Stegostoma tigrinum: one gene and its partner. The main gene of each other region encodes a partner of the protein of the gene in region 2 in a complex. Links are inferred from orthologs where the notes say so. Each region holds a gene or a part of one and is shown on either strand. Other genes may lie near its edges.

Region 1 (7,326 bases), on a different chromosome or scaffold from region 2:
TGTCGGGAACCTGGCCAAAGAGTAAATAAGGAATATCTGAAATGGGAGAGACATGCTGACATTAATGGAGAAAGTTCCAGAGTTTAGGGCCTTGGCAACGGAATGCATGGCTATCAATGGAGTTTTTTTTCTTTATTCATTTATTCGTTCATGGGATGAGGGCATCTCTGGCTAGGACACTAGGTCAGTATTTACTGCCCATCCCTAATTTCCCAGAGGGCAGTTAAGAATCAACAGCATTGCTGTGGATATGGAATCACATGTAAGCTAGACCAGGTCAGGGTGGTAGTTTCCTTTCCTAAAGGACTTTAGTGAACTGGATTTTTTTTTCCTGACAAATGACAGTGGATTCACAGTCATCTTTAGATTCTTAATTCCAGATATTTATTCAATTCAAATTCCACCATCTGTCATGGTGGGATTTGAATGCAGCTTCCCTATACCATTACCAGGGTCTTTGGATTAACAGTCTAGCAATAATACCACTGCAGGAGTGATTAAAAATGAGATGTACAAAAGGCCAGGAGAGTAATGCAGATAACTCAAAGGGTTATGGATCGGATGAAGAGAAGGCAGAAAGAGCCAAGGCCATTCAGCGATAACAAGGATGAACACTGTAAAAGTTGGTTTAACTAGGAGCCAATGTTGGTTGGCAATGACAGGGTGATCAACAAGATGTCATACTAACTGGGAAATCTGATGACATTCAAAATTCTGCAGACACTTTACAGAAAGAACTTACAAGAGAGAATAGTCAAGCCTACTGATAACAAAGAAACGAGCACAGTTTCAGCAGATGTGAGTGGGGGAAGGGGCAGATGCTGAAACAGTCAATATCATGGAATACGGAAGTAGGTGTTTTAGAGATGTGCAATTAAAAAGTTCATCATGGGTTTAAACAAACCAAGGACAAAAACAGTTATCAGCGAGAGCAATGGTGTGTTTGGATTGGGAACGGAGTTTGTAGTCAGGACAGAAGACCTTAGTTTAAGTATCCCACATACTTCACTGGAGGAATTTCCTGTTTATCCAGGACTGGATGTTGAAGGAGCAGCTCACAGTAGATAGTCATAAGAGATGATGGAAGATAGAGCTGAGTATAGGAGCGGAAGCGAAACATTTATGTGCTTTCACATTATATCATCAAGAGGCAGCAGCCAGTACAAAGGGGAACAAAGAAGGATCATTAAGGAACACCAGCAGTAATGATTGGAGCAGGAAGAGAAACCATTCGAGTGGTTCCTTAGGTGCGATTAAGAATGAAACCAAATGACAGCAGGCACCACTCAACTGGATGACTTATCAAAAGCAGCAGATAGATTGATTCAAATTGAAAAAAGTACAGAGGAATTGAGCAGGTTTGGCAGCATCTGTAGAGATAGGAGTTGCACAAAAACACAGAAGGTGCATAAGGGAAGTCATTCAACCCCTCAAGCATGTTTCGTCATTCAACGTGATTACGGCTGGTCATCAAGTTCATTACCATAATCCCATCTTTCCCCCCATTTTCCTCGATTCCTTCAGCTACAAGCGCTATTTCTACCTCCTTCTAGAAAATACAATGTTTTGGCCTCAAACACTTTATGGTAGTGAATTCCACAGGCTCACCACTCCCTGGGTGCATTTGTAAAGGTTGGTGAGGGTCCTTAAGGACTTGCCAAATTCCCTTAGCCTCCTGAGGAAGTCCATCAACAAGTTTGCTGACACCACCACCATATTAGGCTGAATATCAAAAAACAATGAGATACAATACAGGAAAGGAACACAGTAATCAGTGACATGGTGCAAAGATAATCTTTCCCTTACTGTCAGCAAAACTAAAGAGCTGATCATTGACTTCAGAAAGCAAGGAGAACACATCTACATCAATGGAGGTGGGTAACAGCATCAACTTCCTAGGAGAGAACATAACCAACAATCCATCTTGGACTGCATGAATTCATGCAGCAGTCAAGGTGGCAAAACACCTCTTCTTCCTCAGAAGGCTAAGGGAATTCAGCAAGTCCTTAAGGACCTTCACCAACCTTTACAAATGCACCACAGAAAACATTCTATCTGAACGCATCATGGCTTAGCACATCAACTGCTGTGCCTAGAACTGTAAGAAACTACACTAAGTTGTGAATACAGGTCAGGCCATCACACAAGCCAACCTTCCATCCACTGACTCCATCTACTCGCAATGCCGCAGAAAAGCAGCCAACATCAAACACCCCTCCTACACCAGTTATACTCTCTTCCAACCTCAGAAGATACAACACATTAAACATATATATCAACAGGTTCAAGAACAGCATTTTTCCCCTGTCTTTATTACACAGGTGAATGGAACTCAAACTTCAAATCTAGTGTTAACCTTACTTTTGCACACCTTCTTTGCAGCTGTAACTTTGCATTCCTCATTCTGTTCAATCACCCTATGACCCTTGTATCTTTTAATGTTGTGATCTGCCGTAAGACACGAAAAACAAAATTTTTCACCTGTACTTAGATAGATATGACAATAATGAAATAAAAAACGGGTAGGTTCAATCGAAATTTCCGAAAGGGAGATGGACGGTTACGTGGAGGGTTACAGACAGAACAAAGAAGCCAGGTGAATCGCTCTTTTTGAGATTTAGTGCAAACACCGTGGAATGAACGACCTCCTGTGCCGGCCTCACCGAAGCCCGGCCTCAGATGTACCTAAACTGATCGCTCCTTTTAAACCAGGCGCTGGATCTGAAGTGCTCCCGGGAATACTGTCACCGGGGGTGTGAAGACAATGGCTCTCACCTGCTGGGCTAACAGTTCACGCCGCCGTTTCTGCCGCTCTCGGATCTCCTGCAAACGGCTGTCCATAGTCGGTAGCCCGCACACCCCACCCCCTCACCGGATCTGACCTTCCGTCCGCGCGACCAAGTTTCTACATCACTTCCAGCGGTGCACGCCACGACGTAACACCGCAGAGCGGGGCGGCCGTGGCGGTAAGCGCAGGGGCGGGTCTCGGTAAAACAGGGGCAGGGCCGAGTCGTTGTGGGTGGTACCACTTATAGGCAGAGATAATGGGAACTGCAGATGCTGGAGAATCCAAGACAATAAAATGTGAGGCTGGATGAACACAGCAGGCTAAGCAGCATCGCAGGAGCACAAAAGCTGACGTTTCGGGCCTAGACCCTTCATCAGAGACCCTCTTATCCACTTATAGGCAGACCGCGTATGTGTAAACGGTGCCGAGTCTGTTCGTGCGGAGCGGAGCGTGTGTGGGCGTGGTCGGGTGTGTGTGTGTGGTTGTCTGTGTGGGCGTAGTCGAGTATGTGTCGGCGCAGCAGGGTGTGTGGGCGTGGGTGCCTATGTGGGCGTGGTCGAGTATGTGTCAGCTCCCCCGGGTATGTGTGGGCGTGGCGGTATATGTGTCGGCGGAGCCGTGTCCGCAGATGGGTTTGTGAGCTGGAATGGATGCTGTTAAGGGCAACGCTTCCAATTCCCCAGTCCCCAACACCTCATTTTCACCATGGACGTCCAGTCCCTATACACCTGCATTCCCTATGCAGATGACCTTAAGACCCTCCGCATCTTCCTGTCCCGTAGACCGGACCAGTCCCCCTCCACCGAAACCCTCAGCTGCCTAGCCGAACTCGACCTCAGCCTCAACAACTTCTCTTTCGATTCCTCCCACTTCTTACAGAATAAGGGGGTGCCCATACACCTGCCTCTTTGTAGGTTATGTGGAACAGTCCCCCTTTCGCACCTACACTGGCCCAAAACCCCACCTTTTCCTCCGTTACATTGATGACTGTATCGACACTGCCTCATGCTACCCAGAGGAGCTCGAACAGTTTATCCATTTCCCCAACACCTGCCACCCCAACCTCAAGTTCACCTGGACCATCTCCAACACATCCCTTACCTTCCTGGACCTTTCTGTCTCCATCTCAGGCAACCACCTACAAACCGATGTCCATTTCAAGCCCACTGACTCCCACAGCTACCTGGAATACACTTCCTCCCACCCGCCTTCCTGCAAAAATTTCATCCCCTATTCCCAATTGCTTCGCCTCCGCCGCATCTGCTCCCAGGATGAGGCATTCCACTCCTGCACATCCCAGATGTCCTTGTTCTTCAAGGTCTGCAACTTCTCTCCCGGAGTGGTCGAAAATGCCCTCAACCGTGCCTCCCGCATTTCCTGCACCTCATCCCCCACACCTTGCCCTTGCAATAACCGCCATAAGACAATCCCCCTAGTCCTCACGTACCACCCCACCAACCTCTGGATACAGCACATCATCCTCCAACACTTCCGCCATCTACAATCCGACCCCACCCACTAAAGACATTTTTTCCACCCCACCCTTGTCTGCCTTCTGGAGAGACCACGACCCCCTTGTCCGCTCCACACTCCCCTCCAACCCCACCACACCAGACACTTGCCCCTGCAACCGCAGGAAGTGCTACACCTACCCTCACACCATCTCCCTCACGCCCATTCCAGGCCCCAAGAAGACTTTCCACATCAAGCAGACGCTCACCTGCACATCCGCCAATGTGGTATACTGCATCCACTGTACCCGTTGTGGCTTCCTCTACATTGGGGAAACCAAGTGGAGGCTTGGAGACTGCTTTGCATAACACCTCCGCTCGGTTCGCAGGAAACAACTGCACCTCCCAGTCACGAACCATTTTAACTCCCCCTCCCATTCCTTAAGTCGACATGTCCATCCTGGGCCTCGTGCAGTGCCATAATGATGCCACCCGTAGGTTGCAGGAACAGCAACTCATATTCCGCTTGGGAACCCAATGGCATCAATGTGGATTTCACCAGCTTCAAAATCTCCAATTCCCCCACTGCATCCCAAAACCAGCCAAGCTCTTCCCCGCCTGCCTAACCTGTTCTTCCTCTCACCTATCCCCTCCTCCCACCTCAAGCCGCACCTCCATTTCCTGCCTACTAACCTCATCCCAACCCCTTGACCTGTCCGTCCTCCCTGGACTGACCTATCCCCTTCCTACCTTCCCACCCATACTTTCTTCTCTACCTATCTTATCCTCTATCCATCTTCAGTCCGCCTTGCCCTCTCTCCCTATTTATTTCAGAATCCTCTCCCCATCCCCCTCTCTGATGAAGGGTCCAGGCCCGAAACATCAGCTTTTGTGCTCCTAAGATGCTGCTTGGCCTGCTGTGTTCATCCAGCCCCACACTTTGTTATCTTATATCAGTGATTATTGTAGATCTGCGTGTAGAGTATTTCAATGAGTTTCACAACATGAAATGAGCTTGTCTGTATTTTAATAAAGTTCAGTCTCATATACAATAAACATATAGCAAACAACAACAAATAGTTAATTGTAGGTCTCAATAAACCTCCAGTTTGACCTCACCTGGGGCATTGTGGATCACTCTGAACACTACATTTCAAGAAAGAGGCCTTAAAAAGGGTAAACTAAGCTTTACCTGTTTGCTGGGAAGGTTGGAGGATTTTGGTTTTGAGAAAAACTTGGTGCAGTTATGATGGTCCTCCCCAATAGAGATGATTATGATCTTAGGGGTTTTCAAGATGATGTGACGCTTGTTAAAATTGAACAACAAAAAACCTTCTCAGCTTGGTGACTGTGGTGCGCTTAATATCATTTCCAAAAGAACTAAAAAGAAAGAGGAGAGTATTTTCACATATAGTTGCCAAGATGTGAAATGTTTCACCTGAACATTTGATGCAGGCTTGCTCCTAATCAAACTTTCAAAAACTATCTCATAAACAAAAAAAAATTGAAGATGAGATAAAAGGTAATGAACAGAAAGTGAGGACCTATTTCAACAACCAACACAGACACAACATGTTAAACGACCTGTTTTTATGTTGCTATTTCTTGTGGGTTTTTGTTTGCAGTTTTAAGATACTGGTATCCAATGTTTTAACACATGCCACTGTTCATTTTTCATTACCTTATCGTTATTTTAAGTAAATGAGAATTTATTCTAATTGAACAAGTTGGGTGCAACATAGCAGTTAAGAGTGCAGTAGTGATGGGATGAGGAGATTGGCTTATGATGTGCGGGGCATGCATGTGGAATACAGTGAAACTGTGTTTTGTTCTCTTTCGTAAGTGAATAACCACCATCATAAAGATTGTGTCAGTAGGAATAAAGCATAGATTGCATAGGTTGTCAGTCAAGAGTCACACATCTGAATAAAATGTATTTGTTTTATTCTATGTAATCCCAAAGTTGTGTTGTTTTATAAGTGAATGGATCCTGTGGATCCAAAGTGATATTATCAATCACGTGGCGATCATAAGGTAATTAAATGTGAGAAAAGTAGCAAAAAAAAATTGTTTATACCTGCTCTTCCTGGGTTCATTCTGGCCACCATGATTTTTTGTACTGACTTAATTTTTGTCATGTCTCTGACCAGACTTACCACAGTTGAACTGTAATAAGTTTGTTCTCAGTCCTAATTCTTTGCTCCACTCCAGAAGTAGTGAGCAAGCACCCTCTGTCATTCAGAGTTTCATATGTTTGAGGTCCAGACATATCACCTGTATCATCAAGCGTCCCCTGCTTGTCTTATTAACCTCACCCATGTCTGGTTTGTCAGTGTAGCTGAGAGCCTTACTCCATATGGAATTCTGCACTGCTCCTGGAAGTGTGAAATGAGGAATATGCTGTTTTACAGCCATCAAATTGAGCTCCTTGCTTTGGAAGTCCATTTGCTTACCAAAACCAAAAAAAAAGTTCCAGGATAAAGATTATATTTTGTTTAAAGGAAAACTTGAAAACTTTCAAATGTACTAATAAATGAAACTTCTTGTTCAACAAACCAGATACTATTTTGTATAGTTGTACATTCCCTATGCGTAACAGATAATTATTGAGAATAGATAGCCTAAAAATGTTAAATCAGCAGTCATGGTATGTCTTGAATGAATAAAACACTTACACTCCCACAGCTCATCATTTGCCCAGTCAATCAACTAAATTCCTATTTTTAAAGCTATTTGATGTTTTCTTCTTGAGTACTCAGTCAAATTCTCCCGCTGTTATATAGTGCTGATGTTACATGTTTTCTAAAGTTCATGGCCCAATGGATTTAACTTTTATCTCCAAAGGATTTCTAATATCACACCAAGAGCATTGAAGGTGTAGCCTATTTATAGTTGCCTTACACAGGAGACCAGGCAGTGTAGGAGTAGCATAATAATAATATTGTTTAGCCTGTTTCTTGAGAGCAGTAAACTATTTTGTCAACTGTACAATGGCACTTGGTCTGCTAACATCAATGTTCTGGTAAAATGCAAATAGATCAACATTTGTGTGTCTGTTATTCTTCGAGTGGCTTATTTTATTTTCTG
Region 2 (7,853 bases):
TGCTCATATTCCTCTGAACACGGGATGAGATTCTATTTCGGTTAGACTGTTTAGAGATTAACTTGATGGGGATACGTCTTCGAACATCAATGCCACTCAGACATCCAGAACCATCTGTGCCTTGCAGATCTTTATCTTTTGAAAATAAAACAAAAAACGTCTTAAATACATGACTTTCTGCTTATGCGCAATACTGGCGGCTGGAGGTGGGGGAGTGCAAAGGGGGGAGGAAAGAATGGGTAGGGTAGGGTATGGGAGGGGTCTGGGGGAAAGGGTGCAGGGGAGAAAGTGGGATAAGAGGGCATCGTGGAAGAGGGAGAGGGCTATACAAGGGTGAGGGAAGAGGAGTCGGGGGGGGATCAGGGTGGGGTCGGGGGGGATCAGGGTGGGGATCAGCGGGTGGGAAGGAGATCGGGGGAGATGAGGGAGTGGGGGGGGGGAGATGAGGGAGTGGGGGGGGGAGATGAGGGAGTGGGGGGGGAGATGAGGGAGTGGGGGGGGAGATGAGGGAGTGGGGGGGGAGATGAGGGAGTGGGGGGGGGAGATGAGGGAGTGGGGGGGGGAGATGAGGGAGTGGGGGGGGGAGATGAGGGAGTGGGGGGGGGGAGATGAGGGAGTGGGGGGGGGGAGATGAGGGAGTGGGGGGGGGGAGATGAGGGAGTGGGGGGGGGAGATGAGGGAGTGGGGGGGGAGAGGAGGGAGTGGGGGGGGAGAGGAGGGAGTGGGGGGGGAGAGGAGGGAGTGGGGGGGGAGAGGAGGGAGTGGGGGGGGAGAGGAGGGAGTGGGGGGGGAGAGGAGGGAGTGGGGGGGGGAGAGGAGGGAGTGGGGGGGGAGAGGAGGGAGTGGGGGGGGAGAGGAGGGAGTGGGGGGGAGAGGAGGGAGTGGGGGGGGAGAGGAGGGAGTGGGGGGGGAGAGGAGGGAGTGGGGGGGGAGATGAGGGAGTGGGGGGGGGAGATGAGGGAGTGGGGGGGGGAGATGAGGGAGTGGGGGGGAGAGGAGGGAGTGGGGGGGAGAGGAGGGAGTGGGGGGGAGAGGAGGGAGTGGGGGGGGGAGAGGAGGGAGTGGGGGGGGGGGAGATGAGGGAGTGGGGGGGGGGAGATGAGGGAGTGGGGGGGGGGAGATGAGGGAGTGGGGGGGGGGAGATGAGGGAGTGGGGGGGGGGAGATGAGGGAGTGGGGGGGGGGAGATGAGGGAGTGGGGGGGGAGATGAGGGAGTGGGGGGGGGAGATGAGGGAGTGGGGGGGGGAGATGAGGGAGTGGGGGGGGAGATGAGGGAGTGGGGGGGGGAGATGAGGGGGAGGGAGGGAGATGAGGGGGGGGGGGGAGATGAGGGGGAGGGGGGGGAGATGAGGGGGAGGGGGGGGGAGATGAGGGGGAGGGGGGGAGATGAGGGGGAGGGGGGTGAGATGAGGGGTAGGGGGGGTGAGATGAGGGGTAGGGGGGGTGAGATGAGGGGTAGGGGGGGTGAGATGAGGGGGAGGGGGGGTGAGATGAGGGGGAGGGGGGGTGAGATGAGGGGGAGGGGGGGTGAGATGAGGGGTAGGGGGGGTGAGATGAGGGGTAGGGGGGGTGAGATGAGGGGTAGGGGGGGTGAGATGAGGGGTAGGGGGGGTGAGATGAGGGGTAGGGGGGGTGAGATGAGGGGGAGGGGGGGTGAGATGAGGGGGAGGGGGGGTGAGATGAGGGGGAGGGGGGGTGAGATGAGGGGGAGGGGGGGTGAGATGAGGGGGAGGGGGGGTGAGATGAGGGGGAGGGGGGGTGAGATGAGGGGGAGGGGGGGTGAGATGAGGGGGGGGTGAGATGAGGGGGGGGTGAGATGAGGGGGAGGGGGGGTGAGGGGGAGGGGGAGGTGAGATGAGGGGGAGGGGGGGTGAGATGAGGGGGAGGGGGGGTGAGATGAGGGGGAGGGGGGGTGAGATGAGGGGGAGGGGGGGTGAGATGAGGGGGAGGGGGGGTGAGATGAGGGGGAGGGGGGGTGAGATGAGGGGGAGGGGGAGTGAGATGAGGGGGAGGGGGGGTGAGATGAGGGGGAGGGGGGGTGAGATGAGGGGGAGGGGGGGTGAGATGAGGGGGAGGGGGGGTGAGATGAGGGGGAGGGGGGGTGAGATGAGGGGGAGGGGGGGTGAGATGAGGGGGAGGGGGGGTGAGGAGGGGGAGGGGGGTAGGTGAGGAGGGGGAGGGGGGTGAGATGAGGGAGTGGGGGGAGATGAGGGAGTGGGGGGAGATGAGGGAGTGGGGGGAGGTGAGGGAGTGGGGGGAGGTGAGGGAGTGGGGGGAGGTGAGGGAGTGGGGGGAGGTGAGGGAGTGGGGGGAGGTGAGGGAGTGGGGGGGGAGGTGAGGGAGTGGGGGGGGAGGTGAGGGAGTGGGGGGGGAGGTGAGGGAGTGGGGGGGGAGGTGAGGGAGTGGGGGGGGGAGGTGAGGGAGGGGGGGGGAGGTGAGGGAGTGGGGGGGGGAGGTGAGGGAGTGGGGGGGGGAGGTGAGGGAGTGGGGGGGGGGAGGTGAGGGAGTGGGGGGGGGAGGTGAGGGAGTGGGGGGGGGAGGTGAGGGAGTGGGGGGGGGAGGTGAGGGAGTGGGGGGGGGAGGTGAGGGAGTGGGGGGGGGAGGTGAGGGAGTGGGGGGGGGAGGTGAGGGAGTTGGGGGGGGGAGGTGAGGGAGTGGGGGGGGAGGTGAGGGAGTGGGGGGGGAGGTGAGGGAGTGGGGGGGGGAGGTGAGGGGGGAAGATGAAGGAGTGCGGGGGGGGTGGGATGAGAGTAGGCGATGATCAGGGTGTCGGAGCAAGATCAGGGCGATGGGGATAATCAAGGTGTAGAGAGTGCATGGGAGGAAGGAGGGGAGTGGTGATCACAGCGACAGGCGGTCCGGCACTTTACCGCGGGGACTCCGGGCGGTTTAGGCCGCTCTCGAGTAATCGTCAAGCCGCCTCAGTCCCGCTCCAGCCGGAGGTTACTCACAGTCGGGCGCGTTGACAGACTCGCCTCCCGCAGCAACCGGAGAGAACGCACGGGGCCCAAACCCGGCGCGAAGAAGAAAGGAAAAGCGAGAGAGGAAGGGAAAGCGGGAGAAAAACGTCCATTACCCTGATCCATGGTGAGAGGAGCATTGTGGGATTGGGGGCGTGGTGAGGGTCACCGGGGCAACAAGAGACGGGACGGGGCGGGGAGAACCGCAGCAATACACACGAGGGGGGGGGAGGAGGGGGGGGGAGGGGGGGGGAGGAGGGGAGGAGGGGGGGGGAGGGGGGGGGAGGAGGGGGGGGGGGGAGGGAGGGGGAGGAGGGGGGGGGGGGAGGGGGGGGGAGGAGGGGGGGGGGGGAGGGGGGGGGAGGAGGGGGGGGGGGAGGGGGGGGGGGGAGGGGGAGGGGGAGGGGGAGGGGGGGGGGGGGGGGAGGGGGGGGGGGGGAGGGGGAGGGGGAGGGGGGGGGGGGGAGGGGGAGGGGGAGGGGGGGGGGAGGGGGAGGGGGGGGGGGGGAGGGGGGGGGGGGGGGGGAGGGGGGGGGGAGGGGGAGGGGGAGGGGGGGGAGGGGGAGGGGGGGGAGGGGGAGGGGGAGGGGGGGGGGGGAGACAAGAGAGGGAGGGAGAGGTGGAGTGCGAGAGTGCGACAGAAGAAATAGAGAGAGAGGTGGAGTGAGAGAGCGCGAGAGGAGACATAAAGAGAGAGGTGCAGTGAGACGGTGCAAGAGAGGAGACATAGAGAGAGATGGAGTGAGAGAGTGCAAGAGAGGAGAAATAGAGAGAGAGGTGGAGTGAAAGAGTGCAAGAGAGGAGAAATAGATAGAGAGAGAGGTGGCGTGAGAGATGCAAGAGAGGAGAAATAGAGGAAGATGGAGTGAGAGAGTGCAAGAGAGGAGAAGTTGAGAGAGAGAGGTGGAGTGAGAGAGTGCAAGAGGGGAGAAATAGAGAGAGAGAGGTGGAGTGAGAGAGTGCAAGAGAGGAGAAATAGACAGAGAGGGGTGGAGTGAGAGAGTGCAAGAGAGGTGTAATAGAGAGCGAGAGAGAGATGGAGTGAGGGAGTGCAAGAGAGGAGAAATAGAGAGAGAGAGAGGTGGAGTGAGAGAGTGCAAGAGAGGTGTAATAGAGAGAGAGAGGTGGAGTGAGAGAGTGCTAGAGATTAGAAATAGAGAGGTGGAGTGAGAGAGTGCAATAGAGGAGAAATACACGGGGAGAGGTGGAGTGAGAGATGCAAGAGAGGAGAAATAGAGAGAGAGAGGTTGAGTGAGAGAGTGCAAGAGAGGAGAAATAGAGAGAGTGAGAGGTGGAGTGAGAGAGTGCAAGTGAGGAGAAGTGGAGAGACAGAGAGGTGGAGTGAGAGAGTGCAAGAGAGGAGAAATAGAGATGGAGTGAGCGAGTGCAAGAGAGGAGAAATGGAGGGAGAGAGAGAGAGAGGTGGAGTGAGAGAGCGCGAGAGAGGAGAAATAGAGAGAGATGGAGTGAGAGAGTGCAAGAGAGGAGAAGTCGAGAGAGAGGTGGAGTGAAAGAGTGCAAGAGAGGAGAAATAGACGGGGAGAGGTGGAGTGAGAGATGTAAGAGAGGAGAAATAGAAAGAGAGACGTGGAGTGAGCGAGTGCAGGTGAGGAGAAATAGCGAGAGAGAGGTGGAGTGAGAGAGTGCAAGTGAGGAGAAATAGAGAGAGAGGGAGGTGGAGTGAGACATGCAAGAGAGAAGAAATATAAAGAGGTGGAGTGAGAGAGTGCAAGAGAGGAGAAGTGGAGAGACAGAGAGTGCAAGAGAGGAGAAATAGAGGGGGAGAGGTGGAGTGAGAGAGTGCAAGAGATGAGAAATAGAGAGAGAGGGGTGGAGTGAGAGAGTGGAAGAGAGGAGAAATGGACAGAGAGTGAGGTGGAGTGAGAGAGTGCGAGAGAGGAGAAATAGAGAGAGTGAGAGAGCTGGAGTGAGAGAGTGCAAGAGAGGAGAAGTAGAGAGAGGTGGAGTGAGAGAGTGCAAGAGAGGAGAAATAGAGGCTGAGAGCTCGAGTGAGAGAGTGCAAGCGAAGAGAAATAGAGAGAGAGAGGTGGAGTGAGAGATGCAAGAGAGGAGAAATAGAGAGAGAGGTGGAGTGAGAGAGCGCAAGAGAGGAGAAATAGAGAGAGAGAGAGGTGGAGTGAGGGAGTGCAAGAGAGGAGCAATAGAGAGAGAGAGGGACGTGGAGTGAGACATGCAAGAGAGAAGAAATAGAGAGAGGTGGTGTGAGAGAGTGCAAGAGAGGAGAAATAGAGAGAGAGAGAGAGAGAGAGAGAGCTGGAGTGAGAGAGTGCAAGAGAGGAGAAGTAGAGAGAGAGAGGTCGAGTGAGAGATGCAAGAGAGGAGAAATAGAGAGAGAGAGGTCGAGTGAGAGATGCAAGAGAGGAGAAATAGAGAGAGAGAGAGAGAGAGAGGTGGACTGTGAGAGTGCGTGAGGAGAAATAGAGAGAGAGAGAGAAGTGGAGTGAGAGAGTGCGAGAGAGGAGAAATAGAGCGAGAGAGAGAGATGGAGTGAGAGAGTGCAAGAGAGAAGAAATAGAGGTGGAGAGAGGTGGAGTTAGAGATGCAAGAGAGGAGAAATAGAGAGAGTGAGAGGTGGAGTGAGAGAATGCAAGTGAGGAGAAGTGGAGAGACAGAGAGGTGGAGTGAGCGAGTGCAAGAGAGGAGAAATGGAGGGAGAGAGAGAGCGAGATGGAGTGAGAGAGTGCAAGAGAGGAGAAATAGAGAGAGAGAGGTGGAGTGAGAGAGCGCGAGAGAGGAGAAATAGAGAGAGATGGAGTGAGAGAGTGCAAGTGAGGAGAAATAGAGAGAGAGGGAGGTGGAGTGAGACATGCAAGAGAGAAGAAATATAAAGAGGTGGAGTGAGAGAGTGCAAGAGAGGAGAAGTGGAGAGACAGAGTGCAAGAGAGGAGAAATAGAGGGGGAGAGGTGGAGTGAGAGAGTGCAAGAGAGGAGAAGTGGAGAGACAGAGAGAGTGCAAGAGAGGAGAAATAGAGGGGGAGAGGTGGAGTGAGAGAGTGCAAGAGAGGAGAAATAGAGAGAGATGGAGTGACCGAGTGCAAGAGAGCAGAAATAGAGAGAGAGAGAGGTGGAGTGAGAGAGTGCAAGAGAGAAGAAATAGAGGGGGAGAGAGGTGGAGTGAGAGATGCAAGAGAGGAGAAATAGAGAGAGAGGGATGGAGTGAGAGAGTGCAGGAGAGAAGAAATAGAGGGGGAGAGAGGTGGAGTGAGAGATGCAAGAGAGGAGAAATAGAGGGGGAGAGGTGGAGTGAGAGAGTGCAAGAGAGGAGAAATAGAGAGAGATGGAGTGAGAGAGTGCAAGAGAGAAGAAATAGAGAGAGAGAGAGAGAGAGGTGGCGTGAGAGATGCAAGAGAGGAGAAATAGAGAAAGATGGAGTGAGAGAGTGCAAGAGAGGAGAAGTTGAGAGAGAGAGGTGGAGTGAGAGAGTGCAAGAGGGGAGAAATAGAGAGAGAGAGGTGGAGTGAGAGAGTGCAAGAGAGGAGAAATAGACAGAGAGGGGTGGAGTGAGAGAGTGCAAGAGAGGTGTAATAGAGAGCGAGAGAGAGATGGAGTGAGGGAGTGCAAGAGAGGAGAAATAGAGAGAGAGAGAGGTGGAGTGAGAGAGTGCAAGAGAGGTGTAATAGAGAGAGAGAGGTGGAGTGAGAGAGTGCTAGAGATTAGAAATAGAGAGGTGGAGTGAGAGAGTGCAATAGAGGAGAAATACACGGGGAGAGGTGGAGTGAGAGATGCAAGAGAGGAGAAATAGAGAGAGAGAGGTTGAGTGAGAGAGTGCAAGAGAGGAGAAATAGAGAGAGAGAGAGGTGGCGTGAGAGATGCAAGAGAGGAGAAATAGAGAGAGAGAGAGAGAGAGGTGGAGTGAGAGAGTGCAAGAGAGGAGAAGTGGAGAGAGAGAGAGATTGAGTGAGAGAGTGCGAGTGAGGAGAAATAGAGAGAGAGAGAGATGGAGTGAGAGCGCAAGAGAGGAAAAATAGAGAGAGGTGGAGTGAGAGAGTGCAGGAGAGGAGAAATAGAGACAGAGAGAGAGGTGGAGTGAGAGAGTGCAAGAGAGGAGAAATAGAGAGTGAGGTGGAGTGAGAGTATGCAAGAGAGGAGAAATAGAGAGAGAGGGGTGGAGTGAGAGAGTGCGAGAGAGGAGAAATACACGGGGAGAGGTGGAGTGAGAGATGCAAGGGAGGAGAAATACAGAGAGAGGGAGAGAGAGAGGTGGAGTGAGAGATGCAAGAGAGGAGAAACAGAGAGTGATGGTGTGATAGAATGCAAGAGAGGAGAAATAGAGAGAGAGAGAGAGGTGGTGTGAGAGAGTGCAAGAGAGGAGAAATAGAGAGAGAGAGGGGTGGAGTGAGGGAGTGCAAGAGAGGAGCAATAGAGAGAGAGGGACGTGGAGTGAGACATGCAAGAGAGAAGAAATAGAGAGAGGTGGTGTGAGAGAGTGCAAGAGAGGAGAAATAGAGGTGGTGTGAGAGAGTGCAAGAGAGGAGAAATAGAGAGAGAGAGGTCGAGTGAGAGATGCAAGAGAGGAGAAATAGAGAGAGAGGTGGAGTTAGAGAGTACGAGAGAGGGGAAATAGAGCGAGAGAGAGAGAAAGATGGAGTGAGAGAGTGCAAGAGAGAAGAAATAGACGTGGAGAGAGGTGGAGTTAGAGATGCAAGAGAGGAGAAATAGAGAGAGTGAGAGGTGGAGTGAGAGAGTGCAAGTGAGGAGAAGTGGAGAGACAGAGAGGTGGAGTGAGAGAGTGCAAGAGAGGAGAAATAGAGATGGAGTGAGCGAGTGCAAGAGAGGAGAAATGGAGGGAGAGAGAGAGAGAGGTGGAGTGAGAGAGCGCGAGAGAGGAGAAATAGAGAGAGATGGAGTGAGAGAGTGCAAGAGAGGAGAAGT

What was found.
Region 1: E3 ubiquitin-protein ligase Hakai (region 2) and mettl14 share a complex: the UniProt entries of both Homo sapiens proteins name them as parts of the WMM complex. The link is inferred for Stegostoma tigrinum from reciprocal best matches to the Homo sapiens genes CBLL1 and METTL14.

The regions. Positions count from the first base shown.
Region 1 is NC_081354.1:67,559,418-67,566,743, reverse strand, and holds the start of mettl14 (N6-adenosine-methyltransferase non-catalytic subunit), read right to left. Parts: upstream 3,190-7,326; 5' UTR 2,842-3,189; coding exon 2,776-2,841; intron 1-2,775. UniProt on the Homo sapiens protein: The METTL3-METTL14 heterodimer forms a N6-methyltransferase complex that methylates adenosine residues at the N(6) position of some mRNAs and regulates the circadian clock, differentiation of embryonic stem cells and cortical neurogenesis.
Region 2 is NC_081378.1:53,898,167-53,906,019, forward strand, and holds the start of E3 ubiquitin-protein ligase Hakai, read right to left. Parts: upstream 3,120-7,853; 5' UTR 3,087-3,119; coding exon 3,077-3,086; intron 2,979-3,076; exon of another isoform or gene 2,871-2,978; intron 136-2,870; coding exon 1-135. UniProt on the Homo sapiens protein: E3 ubiquitin-protein ligase that mediates ubiquitination of several tyrosine-phosphorylated Src substrates, including CDH1, CTTN and DOK1. Targets CDH1 for endocytosis and degradation.